Drosophila melanogaster: one gene and its partner. The protein of the gene in region 2 interacts with the protein of the main gene of each other region in a pairwise test. Each region holds a gene or a part of one and is shown on either strand. Other genes may lie near its edges.

Evidence for each region.
Region 1: the proteins of Rexo5 (region 2) and Graf interact in a two-hybrid assay, tested with the Drosophila melanogaster proteins (one large-scale study listed by BioGRID).

What each region holds. Positions count from the first base shown.
Region 1 is NC_004354.4:15,757,638-15,762,528, reverse strand, and holds the start of Graf (GTPase regulator associated with FAK), read left to right. Parts: upstream 1-1,879; 5' UTR 1,880-2,289; intron 2,290-2,334; exon of another isoform or gene 2,335-2,404; intron 2,405-4,211; 5' UTR 4,212-4,495; coding exon 4,496-4,673; intron 4,674-4,761; coding exon of another isoform or gene 4,762-4,891. Other genes in the region: mRpL3 (mitochondrial ribosomal protein L3), read right to left, coding at 1-354, 408-931, 993-1,098, 1,158-1,195; CG8260 (uncharacterized protein), read right to left, coding at 4,762-4,891. UniProt on the Drosophila melanogaster protein: GTPase-activating protein for Rho family proteins. Essential component of the CLIC (clathrin-independent carrier)/GEEC (GPI-anchored protein-enriched early endocytic compartment) endocytic pathway.
Region 2 is NT_037436.4:6,601,829-6,609,267, forward strand, and holds Rexo5 (RNA exonuclease 5), read left to right. Parts: upstream 1-1,855; 5' UTR 1,856-2,065; intron 2,066-2,134; 5' UTR 2,135-2,356; intron 2,357-2,537; exon of another isoform or gene 2,538-2,849; coding exon of another isoform or gene 2,850-3,374; intron 3,375-3,446; coding exon of another isoform or gene 3,447-3,748; intron 3,749-3,804; coding exon of another isoform or gene 3,805-4,081; exon of another isoform or gene 4,082-4,204; intron 4,205-4,350; exon of another isoform or gene 4,351-4,466; 5' UTR 4,467-4,488; coding exon 4,489-5,250; intron 5,251-5,306; coding exon 5,307-6,590; 3' UTR 6,591-6,911; downstream 6,912-7,439. Other genes in the region: ndl (nudel), read right to left, coding at 1-629, 686-829, 1,252-1,270; zpg (zero population growth), read right to left, coding at 2,850-3,374, 3,447-3,748, 3,805-4,081.

The DNA of each region.
Region 1 (4,891 bases), on a different chromosome or scaffold from region 2:
CCATCTTGCTGCGGCTCGCCGTAAAACGTTGGGAACGGTGGGGCTTCCTTATTCTTTCGCGTTGGCAAGATGGTATCGTATATGTAGACCAGACCGCCGGTGGGGCCGGCCACCGAGCTCCCTTGCACCCACATAACATTATATTTGGTGTTAATGCGCCACACGCGCAGACCCTTGATGATGCGCCACCGGTTTCCCATGTGTCCCGGCATCTTTGTGCCTGGCCAGACGCGACCCTTCTCGCCACCACCGCCAATGTTGCCGGCACGTCGATGAGTTTTCGTCACACCGTGCGATGCTGGCATGCCCTTAAATCCGTGTCGCTTGACAACACCTTGGAAGCCATGGTCAACTCTGCAAAATATAAGTAGAGTACGTATAACCAGCGCTTAGACGTATGTACTTACGTTTTGCCGCGAACATCGACGAAGTCACCAACGCGAAAGTGGTTGACATTTAGTGGAGTGCCTGGCGCCAGTTGGGCTTCTGGAGAGACGATGAATCGGGCCAGGTTCTTCTTGGGGAGCACACCCGAGTTGCGGAATATGCCCGCGTACTCTTTGGTCAACAGAGCTGGGTTCGTGGTCTCGGAGCCAACGAGAATGCAGCCGCGCTTGTGCAGGTTGGCTACCGTGGGAACTTGGGCAGGTAAATACTCTTCCGGGGGAATGTATTTAATGACATGATTGTCGACGATTTGCAGCAGCGTGGTGCGAATCCGCTCGCCATTCTTTAGCCACAGCGGGTACTGGCCAATTTTGCGCGCTATAACGCCGCATCTTCGCAAATTCGGAGTCCACACAGCCTCATTGGCGGTTGGGCCCGCGGTCTTGACCAAACTATCCTTAATAACTGCCGGAACGCCAAAGTTATTGGTGCCCACTTCGTTGACGAACTGCTTGTTCTCCGCCGTCATCAAATCGTTGTATTTCTGTTGCAATAAAACGCAAATGAGTAGTTTGTTTATAGATAAAAAGATATATGTCACATACTGTAATTTCCTTGCGCAGAAACCATTGGGGATTCCGCAGTCGAGGTCTGCTCAAATGGCCCTTATCGCGCACCTGCGTAACCAAAACACTGCTATTTCCACTGAGCCTGAATGGAGAAACCAGAATTTACTAAATGGCCACTATAGCAACGATAAGTGTACCCACCGGAGACCCAGTAATTGATTAATAACGCTCCGCATCATACTTATATAATATAATTTAACAAAGCATAAAAGCGAGCCGGTGCAGAATAACCAAAAGAGCTGTCAAAACATCGGCCACAGTATCGATATCAGCGATATTTGGGGCACGGCTGCTTGACCATCGATTATTTCTGGTCAATTTCGATTCCACATGCTCTTATAATTGGAGTAGTGGAAACATGATGTGATTATTATCGCAACTATGTAAATCAGAAATTGTAGTTTTTAATAAATTTGTAACATTTGTAATACATTTTGGTAATGAATTCACCCCTCTCTATGTAACGACGCGCAATGTTGTTCATTGACAAAATAGATGATTCACAATTCGTGCTAAGCTATGCATGCTGCAAACTTTAGACGCTTAATAAACATTTGATATCTATCAAAGAAGTTTTAGCGCTTTCATTTTGTTTCCCAATCATTTCTGTCAATTAAAGTTAGAGAATGGGAGAGAGTAATGCGTTGAAATGCGAACAAGTAAGTAACAGGTGGTTGTTGGAACGCATGAGAAGTAGATGGCACGGCAAAAGCTTATGGACACTCCTGCAAATGTTAGTGTCGCGGTGGAGACAGGGTATTTGATGCGCTTAACAGCACAGTTAATATACTTAACAGCACGTTCAGATAACTTGTGTATTTTTATCAGACCTACATTAATTTTTTTTTCTAATCGGAGATTTAACAGTCAAAGTAATATATATATATTGTGGTGCATTTAGAATACAATGAAACGAAATATGCAATTGATGCTGAATAATATCGCGTAATTGATGCGAAACGCGCGACACGACACGGCCAATTTGCGTTCTTCGATCAGAGCAACATTAGATATTGGGAAATTACTCATACACTAATGTTTACTCTGTGAGTAATTTTAACACGGGCACAAATGTGTGTGCGGTTGCGGTACGCGAAAAACTACCGACGGTTGCCTTTCGTAACTAAGAGCATTTATTTTTGTATAAGTGAATTCCAATGGGCTAAAGTCATATGAAAAGCGTCTAAACATGAGCCCCTCGACGATTCGTTTATAAGGATTTGATTTATTTATTTATTTGTGATTCCATTGCATTGCGTATGTATGTGTGCTGGTGTGTATCTACGTATATGTATGCTGATATATATATATTATTTAGTTTTTTAAACAACTACATGCATGCGAAATAAACAAAGGATTTGGTGCTGCAGTTGAATTTCATCCCAGGGGTATGTCCGATATCGAAATTATGGTGTTAGTGGCCTCGCAACCTGTTTTAAGATCGAATGTTTACATATGTACATCGAAATTTAACAAGTTTATGCAAAAAAAAAGAGGAAACGATAAAAACTCTCGCCCACCCCTCCCTTCAACACATTCTTATGCACATAGTGTTGTAAAGTGCGCATATGAGTTATTTATCAGTAAGCGAACATAAACTAAAGTTATTTTTAAATAACAAATGTACACAACATACAAATACAGGCGGTGCACATCTGTATGTATGCAAGTATGCAAGTATGCCTGTACATACCTAGCTTCATGCAACAATTTTAAGCGGGCTTAACTGTAAAAAAAAACCGATAAGATAATTTAAAACGGAATGTTTAACTGTTTTTTAAGCCCCAAAAATCCACCATAAGTTCGTATTCAACAGGTATTAAGGTATATCTAGCGAAAATACATAGCAACAGCTGTGTTTTTACTCGTTGCGCATTCCATCAGTGGAAACTCGCCAACAAAATTTCCCATGATCTTGAATTGCACTATCTGAACTCGGCTTTAAATAAATACATATATATTGCATTATTTCAATGCCTAACATTTTCATATATATAACTATCTCTTAGGCTTATAAAGTTATCAAGGATTTTTAAAGTTGTTGTAGTCAAAGAAAGTGAAAACAGGTGATTAACTGGTTATCAGTAATCAATGGTCCTATGAGCCGGATAAAAGTACTTTGCGAATTTGAATGGAAAGACTATTATTGCGTAAAGGGGATATGTTTTGTGAATTGTTTTAGTTAGGGTGTATATACATTTATCTGCGTCATTGTTTCCTTGATAACTTGGGCCTGGAATCCACTAAAATTTGTTTAAAATATATATTGATTAGGCGATTATTTCTGAGAATTCTCCGTGCCTGCGCCTATCTATCTTAAGATCTGATAAGAAAAACATATACAACAATGACAATGTAGTAAACAGGCGTCTGTAAGCAACTTTATGATTTAAATACACCCATAAATAAATGGCATTCAAAGTGTATTTTCCAAGTGGCTGACTTTCGCAATTTTTATTGAACATGATTTTCAATTGCAAAGTCGGTTTTGCATTTATGTAATGGCGACGACTTATCAGCCTGTGGCTGGTTTCACTGTAATAGGAAAGTGTTCGCAAGTGTATTTAAACTTGTTTTTGGTAAACGCTTGTACATATGTATATGTTTGCAAAAGATAAGAAATTTACTAGAGTGTGGGTCTTGCTCGGTACACAGACGATAAGAAATTAACAATAGTCCGTTCTTGATGAAAGTTAGTCGTTGACTGCCCACTTTTTATCGTGGCACTGTGTTTCAATTTATCTTTTTATATAATCTCATCAGTTTGCTTTTCGGATCTGCTCTTATTTTCGGAATTTCACAGTTTAAAGTTTATCGAATGTGGGGAACCGACCTTAAATCAAAATCACAATTGCCAGAGCTCTGCGCGATCAAAACGAATAAATATAATACATAATGGACTTCACTTGCTAATTATTGGTCAATTTAGGCTATAAATTCATATTCCGGTGATTGCGATGTACTCAAAATATCGTTTTTAAACCACACAAAGCAATGGGTTCTCTAAAAGAGAGAATGCAAGTTCTTTAATACAGAGTTGATAAGAATCGAGTGAATCATGTTTCTTCATGCTAGAACAAAATATTTTCTCAAAGTAACTTAGCGTATTCTTGGCCGCTCAGCCGCAATGCAAGTTTTGCGCAATTAACTCTACTTGTTGTTTAAAAAGATATCTTATATCAGTTGTCTTTGCAGGAAGGATTACCAATATGCATAATCCACCAACTGATAAACAGTATTTGCATTGAATAGTAAATATATAAAAGGAGCGCAATTCCAGCTGTAAATGTTGCAAACACCGCAGTTTTCTCGAAACTCAACCGACAAATCTACACAATATATCACAATATATCAGTCACTGCGAATGCACTTAGCTCTGTGGAAAGCAACATCGAAAGAACCTAAATAAAACTGAAACTTAAACTGAAAATCACAGCAAATATTCAAATTCAATATTATTAAAAGCAAACGCAAACATCATGGGCGGCGGCAAAAATGTACGCCGCGGCTTGGAGCCTCTGGAGTTCGAAGAATGCATCGTCGACAGTCCGGACTTTCGCGAAAATTTAAATCGACATGAAAAGGAACTGGACCACACTAGTCATCAAATAAAACGAATTATCAAAGAGGTCAAAGATCTTATGAGTGCGGCAAAGAGTAAGTAGTACAATCCATTTACCGGAGGGCGTAAAACGTGTGTCTGTTTATTAAAGTATACAAAAAATGATTTATAAATAATGCCTATTCACATATGCTTCCACATATCTTCTTGTCCTTCTGATTCCCGATCCCTGGTATGCTTGAAACACGTATTGAATTCGGGTCCAATCGACAGGCGTTTTAGGTACTCTTGATATTCGTTTAGCGTTATGAAA
Region 2 (7,439 bases):
GATCCAGCTGATCCTTGAAGGCTTAATCTTAGTCCTCGCTGGCTTTTCAGTGGCATGTACCGCAACCGTTGTGGCCTCTGCAGTTGTCACCTGAATCAGGTCGGCCGGTGAAAAAGTACCCTTCTGTTCATGGGACTCCATGCTGCTTGATTCCAATTTCGGCTGCTGCTCCCGCATAATGGCCTTCATCTTCTCCATTTTCTCGGTCACCTCCTTTGCCATTTTGTACATGCGCAGAAAGGCGGACATGCAATCCTGCGGAGTATGCTTTTTGCAACGCACAAACTCATGCTCCAACTGGCTTAGGGCTTCTCTTGCCCTTTTACTTCGCAGCTTGGTGTACAGGTGCTGCATATTGGCCTCCATCCGGACGGGATCCAACAGATCCAACCCATGCAAATCACGCCGCATGCGGTGTTTCTTGTTCAACCGGAACTTAACCAGCATTTGCCGCATATGCTTCCTTCTCCTGTTTTTGCTATCCTCCATATCCTTGTTCATATCCTCGTCGAGCAATTTGAAGTGCAAAGTTTGAGGACTCACAATCAGGGCAGACTGATCCTCCTCAAAGGGCTGGTTGAAAAGCACCTGGTGCCTGGCATTCAGCGCTGCAATCTGCTGCACTTGATCTTTAAGTAATTTATTAGTTATTATTACTCTTATTATAACTCGTTAACGAACTTACCAATTTTCTCCACCACTAGCCCGTGGTAAACCAGAGAAAATAGCAACACGATGATGACCAGAATCGAGATGGCCACGATCCGTTTGCCGAATCCAATGCTCCACCAACGTCGCGGATGCCGAAGCAGCCTGGTGGCCTCCATCTCTAAAGAATTCCGTTTAAGAAGATTAGTGTAACGAAATTTCTTAACCAAGTTCAATTATGGATTTTTTGTAAGCCAATCGCTTAAGTATTAAACTGTTTACATACTTGTATGTTTATTGTCTTGTTCGCAGTTTTTATAAAAACTCAGTCTACATACTTTTATTTTCAACATACATAATTAAACACTTTTTATTATTTATTGTGGTCAGCACTTTCTGGCCTGTTCAGCACTTTTGCAATAATTTTTATAATAATGCTGATCCAAGTTCAAAATAAAATGGAACTTTCGACCATTTTATGGAATTCACTTTCTGGCTTAAAATGTTCACAGACGTGGGTGAAAATATTAATTGTTTTTGGCCTATTTTTTTTTTTGCCAACGAGTACGGAAGTTATTTTCAAGATTTCAAAGTAACACATACCATCCATGTTGTAATTCATTATTCATAAATTGATTTATCTTCTGGATTTTTCACTTAAGCTCTGGACATTTTTAACACATAAGCTTTTACGCCACAAAATCGCTGATTATTTCTTTCAATTATATGTTAAGCACTTTGTTAAATTGGCCGGGAAACAAGGAGCCTCAGGTTACAGCGATTCACTCAAACAAAAATCCACAAAAAGCAATCGCAAAGCAATTTGATATGCACGATAATCCAGAACGGTAATAATCACTACGATGACGACTTCCGCGCGATCCGGCCGGTAAAGAGCAACTGAATCCGACGGTGGTGAATGCGCCGCTTATAAGGGCTTCCGGAAAGTGGATCAGCGGGCAAACGACCCACATCCAGCGGCCACTGCTGCACTTTTCTGCTACGTTTCGAAGTTTATGGTTTTTTGGTTAATGAAAAGCGGCCCGGCAACTGCGGAGGTCAGCTGAAATGGCCGACGAAAAGTGCAAGTTGAAGGGGATTTTGGAATGGCAGAGCAACGAACCAGCCGCCCACCACCTATGAAACCAGAACTGTAAGCTAAGCAGGCCCAGCATTAATTCTCAACCCTGTGTCAGAAGTTTCCAAATCAGTTCTTTCCCTTTTTTTTTTTACAAATTTCGTAAAGCGCATAAAAATAAAAACATTTTTCCACACATCAAAGCTTTGACCACGAACACTATTTACCGAAAAATATAAATAAAAAACAAAAAGAAACGGTAGTAAAACAGAAAACACATGCATTCTACTTAGAAAATCAAATAAAATTGTTTATCAAAATTTTACCATCAGACAGAATGTAAGTAGCAGCAGCGCATGAAACGTGCAGGAATCGAGTGTCTTAGCCAGTTTTCCCATGAACCCACAGAACTTCATTAACAAAAATTGATGCGCAAGCAAAGAAAGTATATGCCCTCAAGATCCAGCCAGTCATTAGTCATTGGAGGAACCAGAAAACAAACACAAACACAAGGACCTTCCCACGGCATGCGCATAGAGTTCCTTAACATATTAACCTTTATCTCGAGATAACAAACATGATGTGGACCAGAACGACAATCGCACTGCGCAGAATTGCCAGGTCGCAAAGGTAAGTAACAAATAAACTCATTTCATTCAAAAAGGTATTAGTTACTCATACTCATACACCACCTTGAACGACTAATTATTGTGTAGGTGATATGTAGGTAAATGATGGTGATGAAAGATTAATAACAATAGTGGCCAGTTAACAATCAATAAACTGTGCATGAAAATAGCTTATGTTCTTTACACTTTCAACTTTTATTAAAGATAAATTCAGTTTTCGATCTATATCAAGCCAATTAAGGATTCAAATGGTCAAGAATATTTATGATGATTAAGAAATATGAGAATTTACTGAACAAGTGAAAATGGCACATTATTCTTAGCACAAAAATTATAATAGTTCGTTATATCTTCGATAATATGCACATATCGATGTGAAAAAATTAATGTATGTTATTCTTGTTTGTGTCATCTTAGTCTTCTACTCTAGATGATTCAAATGATAATACCTATTTCAGTATATTGAGATTAAACTTGGCGTCATCGCTGAGATCTTAGATCTTGTCCGCTCCTGGCGGTATTTTGATCAAGGACTGAGCTTCGTACAGCTCCTCCAGCAACTTACGGAATAGCTCGGGGCTGATGTTGTTGCCCACGCGCATCAGCACGAACCAGTCGCCAAAACTGCAATTGCGCAATGCCACCTGCAAGTGCTTCTTGGGCATGAAACGTGCCCTGGCACGAAGCAACTGAAGACGCATTCCGGGATACAAAACGGTGGCCAGGCGGTACAGAAACTTGAGGGAAATGAGCATAGCCACTAGTATAAACCATATCCACAGGAAGGCGAAGATTTTCTCGTTCAGTATATTCAGGGGCAGCAGGCAAAGGTAGTCGTATATGTTGGAAGAACCGCTGGGGCCGCCCTTGTACATCTCGCACTTGGCACACTTGGGGAAGACTGCCATGGTTATAATGTTCCACTGGTTATAGTCGCCATTGTAAAGGGACAGCAAGGCATTACGGTAGCGGCCCCAAAAACCTCCGAAAAATACGTCCAACAGAAGGAAGTTTAGAATCTGCGGGGTTGCAAATAATTACAATTTTTAGTAATATCGTAGATTATTGAATTACTAGTTTTGGTCACTCACACTGATGCTCAAATTGAGTATTTCGCAGAAGACGTAGCTAACGAAGTAGCGGAAGTGGGTCTCTTTGTAATCGCTGGAGAAGTAGTTGACTAGTACGCGCAAATGGGTCCTGCTCTTGTCCTTGCAAACGGCCATCTTGTGGAAATCATCGCACAAATGCTTCAGCCGACCGCCCTCCCAAATCTTCCAGAGAAATGCTGGCATATAAAACACAAACGACTCGAGCAGCAATACCAGCACGACCCACTGATAGTAGGTTATGTAGTTACGATTTTCCGGGGGCACTACCTTACTAACCGCATCTGAAATGAAGAATCCGTGCTGAACATGGGAATCTTTGAAGCATTTCCAAACTCACCTGGTCGGCACTGTGCAGCTCCATTCCTTAGGGGCGTCACAGTCACATTGTCGCTCACATAGGCCCCGTAGATCCAACAAAAGGCGTGCACGTAGTCCATATCCTTGTCCCCAAAACACTGGATGGGATCGCCGAAATATTGTTTCGAGGAAAGCAAAAATGTGCAGGCCAAAAGCAGGGCCACTGTGACTTTGGAGTGCAGCGTGAAAATAGCATCGTAGATGTGCACCGACTTGAACTGCAGATACTTGGAGAGCGGTTTAACAGCTGCGTACATGATGGCGTATTTATTTTATTTAATTTCGGGCGTAAAACAAAAATTTTGGGGCGGTTGTAAAGTTTGACGATTTAACTTGTACCAAAAGCACGCGGCATCATAACGGTTGATGTATACTATGGTTGTCTCTTTCTTACTCACGCCTGGGAACCTTACGTACAAACCGCAATTTCCAGCAGCCAGCTTTTGGCAGGCACTGATTTCGGCTGGAAAGAAGTCAGATTTGACGAGAAAATAGCGGGACTGCCAGCTCTGTTGGGGCTAAAAACTGTTTTTACCATCTGGTAACACTAGCACGTTGCACATGTTAAATCTTCGTGTTGACAAATTGAAATCTACTGAAAATCGAGTTAATTTAATAAAAGTTGCGTATTTTCGCCTGCAGCTTGAACGGTAAGCGCTCCAGGATGAAGGAACATATGTCCACCAAGCAGCACGAGCGCAACGAGAAGAAGAAAAAGAAGCTGGCGGCCCTGGCGAACCTGATGGAGCTCAACGATCGCGATCGATTGCACGAGGCAGAGTTGGCCAAAAAACGCGATGCAGAGGTCGAAGTGGAGGAGAAGTCAACAGCGAAGGCGGAGGACGGGGACGACGGTTTCATCGTGGTGGGCAGCAAACGCAAGCCGCGAAACCGTCGTCAAAACAACGAGCTGGAGGCGGATTCACAGACTGCCCCAGGAACATCAGATCCTGAAGAGCCGGTGAACAAGAAAATCCGCAATTACGATGCTGGTGGAGATAGCCTGCCGCTGGAGATTGGCTCGCTATCCGAGGATCAGTACAATCAGTTGTCGGCAGAGTTGAGGCGTCGCAAACGGGAGCTGGAGAACGTACCGGCCTTGCGACTGCGTGAGATGGGTCAGCGCGCCTCCCTGGAGACTCCGCAAGATGCTCGTACGCCCATCTTTCTAACCGACATCCAGAACCTGTTGATGTGCGCTCTCATTGGCCAGAAGAGCCCCTGCCGTCCGGATCGCTGGTGCAGCGTGGAGAAGTGGCTCAGTCTGTCGCACAGTGTGGTGGTCATTCTGGAGGGACTATCTCTCTACCACTATCTGTCTAACGAGACCCAGTTTGAGGCCACCAACAGGATATTCAGCACGAAGCTGGAGATGATACTTCCACCGCAGGAGGAGGGCCAGAAGATTATCGACGAGATAGCCAAGGTAGGGCTTCGTTGAAACTGTCTGTTTGCCTAATAATATATCCCTTGCTCTTGCAGATTCCTCTCACCAATGCGCAGGCACGCAGACTGATAGACGAGCACGGCTCCCTGGAGTCGGCTGTGGAGCTGAACAAAGATCCAACTTTGTTTGTAAAGACAATCTTTCCAATCGAAAGCTCTAAATCTGAGTCGGATGACATGCATGAGGATGACAAGTTCCCACGCACTAAGCTCCTGCTGTCAGCGCTGCAAATGGTCGACGAGGGCTATCCTATTCCATTGCAGGGCGAGCTACACACTCGTTTCCAAAACTTTAAGTTTACCAAGGATCTGTATGCACCGGTAACCAATCGCAGTCCTATGTTCGGCGTTGATTGTGAAATGTGTCACACGGAGGCGGGTTGTAACGAGCTAACCCGAATCTCTATTGTCAACGAAAATTACGAGACCGTTTATGAAACGCTAGTGTTGCCAAATAACCGGATCACCGACTATCTAACCCAATATTCGGGCATAACCGCAGAAATTATGGAGCAAGTGACCAAGAGGCTGGATGTTGTGCAAAAGGAAGTGTCCGAACTGCTGCCTCCAGATGCCATTCTGGTGGGGCAATCTCTAAATTCTGACTTGAACGCCATGAAAATGATGCACCCGTATGTAATTGACACCAGCGTGTGCTTTAACACATCTGGGGTGCGACGACGCAAGACCAAGCTGAAGGATCTGGCCAAAACCTTTTTACAGGAAATTATCCAGGAGAACATCGATGGTCACGATTCCATTGAGGATTCGCGAGCCACGCTGAAGCTCGTCAAGAAGAAGCTGGCAAACAGCATCGAGTTCGGAGACCAGATCCTCACGCAGCACAAGCAATTACAGGAGTTGGCGAACGCATCCAGCGGTGATACCATATCCAACAATCTGTTTGCACATGTGGCAAAGCGGGATAAGCGCACGGCCATTGTCACGGTCGGCGAGCTGCAGCCCCGTCTAAAGGAAGTGATCGAAAAGGCGGGAGAGGCAGCGCCCAAGGATCAAAGTACGTCGGTGCATGTCCACGAGGTATCTACGGCCAAGGAAGCCATTCGGAAGGTCAATGAAGTTGCACTGGAAAATGCCCTGACAATTGCCAACCTCCGCGTGCCAGAGCAGGACTTTATATTGGACAGTGCACAGCGGAGTGTTGCCAAACTGGACAAGACCATTGATCGCCTGTGGAAGTCAGTTGCGCACAACGGACTCTTCCTCGTCATCATGGGCGGATCCACAGAGTGCTCGAAGGGTGTAGCCAAAATAGCCATCAAGCGACTAAACGGATCGAATCAGACTATGGAAAGTTAGGGAGCTTTTAAGAACCTTACTTATGCTAACCGCCTCCATGGATACCCGCTCCCACTAAGGTCCTGAGTGTTGAAATCCAGCAGATAAATCAAATTTACCGTATCACACTGAAGACATGACCAACAGTTGCATTACCATACACCTGGGAAATGTCCTGCATGCATGAGTGCATCGATGAAAAATTGTAAAATTAAAAACAAATTCGATCAATAACGAATAATAAAATGTACATTTAATTTTTTTCACAAAATTCCATTGGCTTCTGCATAGTTGTATTAAATTAAATGAGCGGTAAAAATTATTATGGATTATTGTATAAAGAAAAAACTATACAAAAAACTAATTATTATTGATTCCATTTTAAAATTTTCTGAAAGGGTCAACATAATACATGGTTTATTGAACCGTAAAAACTGTTCGTGTCCGCAGGCAATTAGAAATAATTCCAGTATCCGTCCGATACATTTTCCGGATGGAGCATTCCAAACTGGCTGCTTGAATTTGACCCAGTTTCGTCTGGTTTGCATTGCCCGATATATGTGGCTGGTGGTGCTCGCTGGCCAGGCGGCTGTGTTGATAAGAGCCACAAATTTCCTACCTCCCTCAATGTGGTGCTCCGTTGTCTAGGGCCCGGCCCGAAAGCCCGAACTGGGCCTCCTCCCTAGAAGCGCCCACGCACTCTCGCTCTCCCTGGCTTTTTCATTTCCCTCTCTGTCGCTTTGGAAAGGGAAAGTCCCCGCAGCGGAGTATCTGTGTCTTATCACACGCTCGAAAATGTTGCGTCTTTTTTGGCTGAGTACTCATACGACCTGTAGGTCGTGCTCAAAGTTTCTATGCGCATGTCCCGCC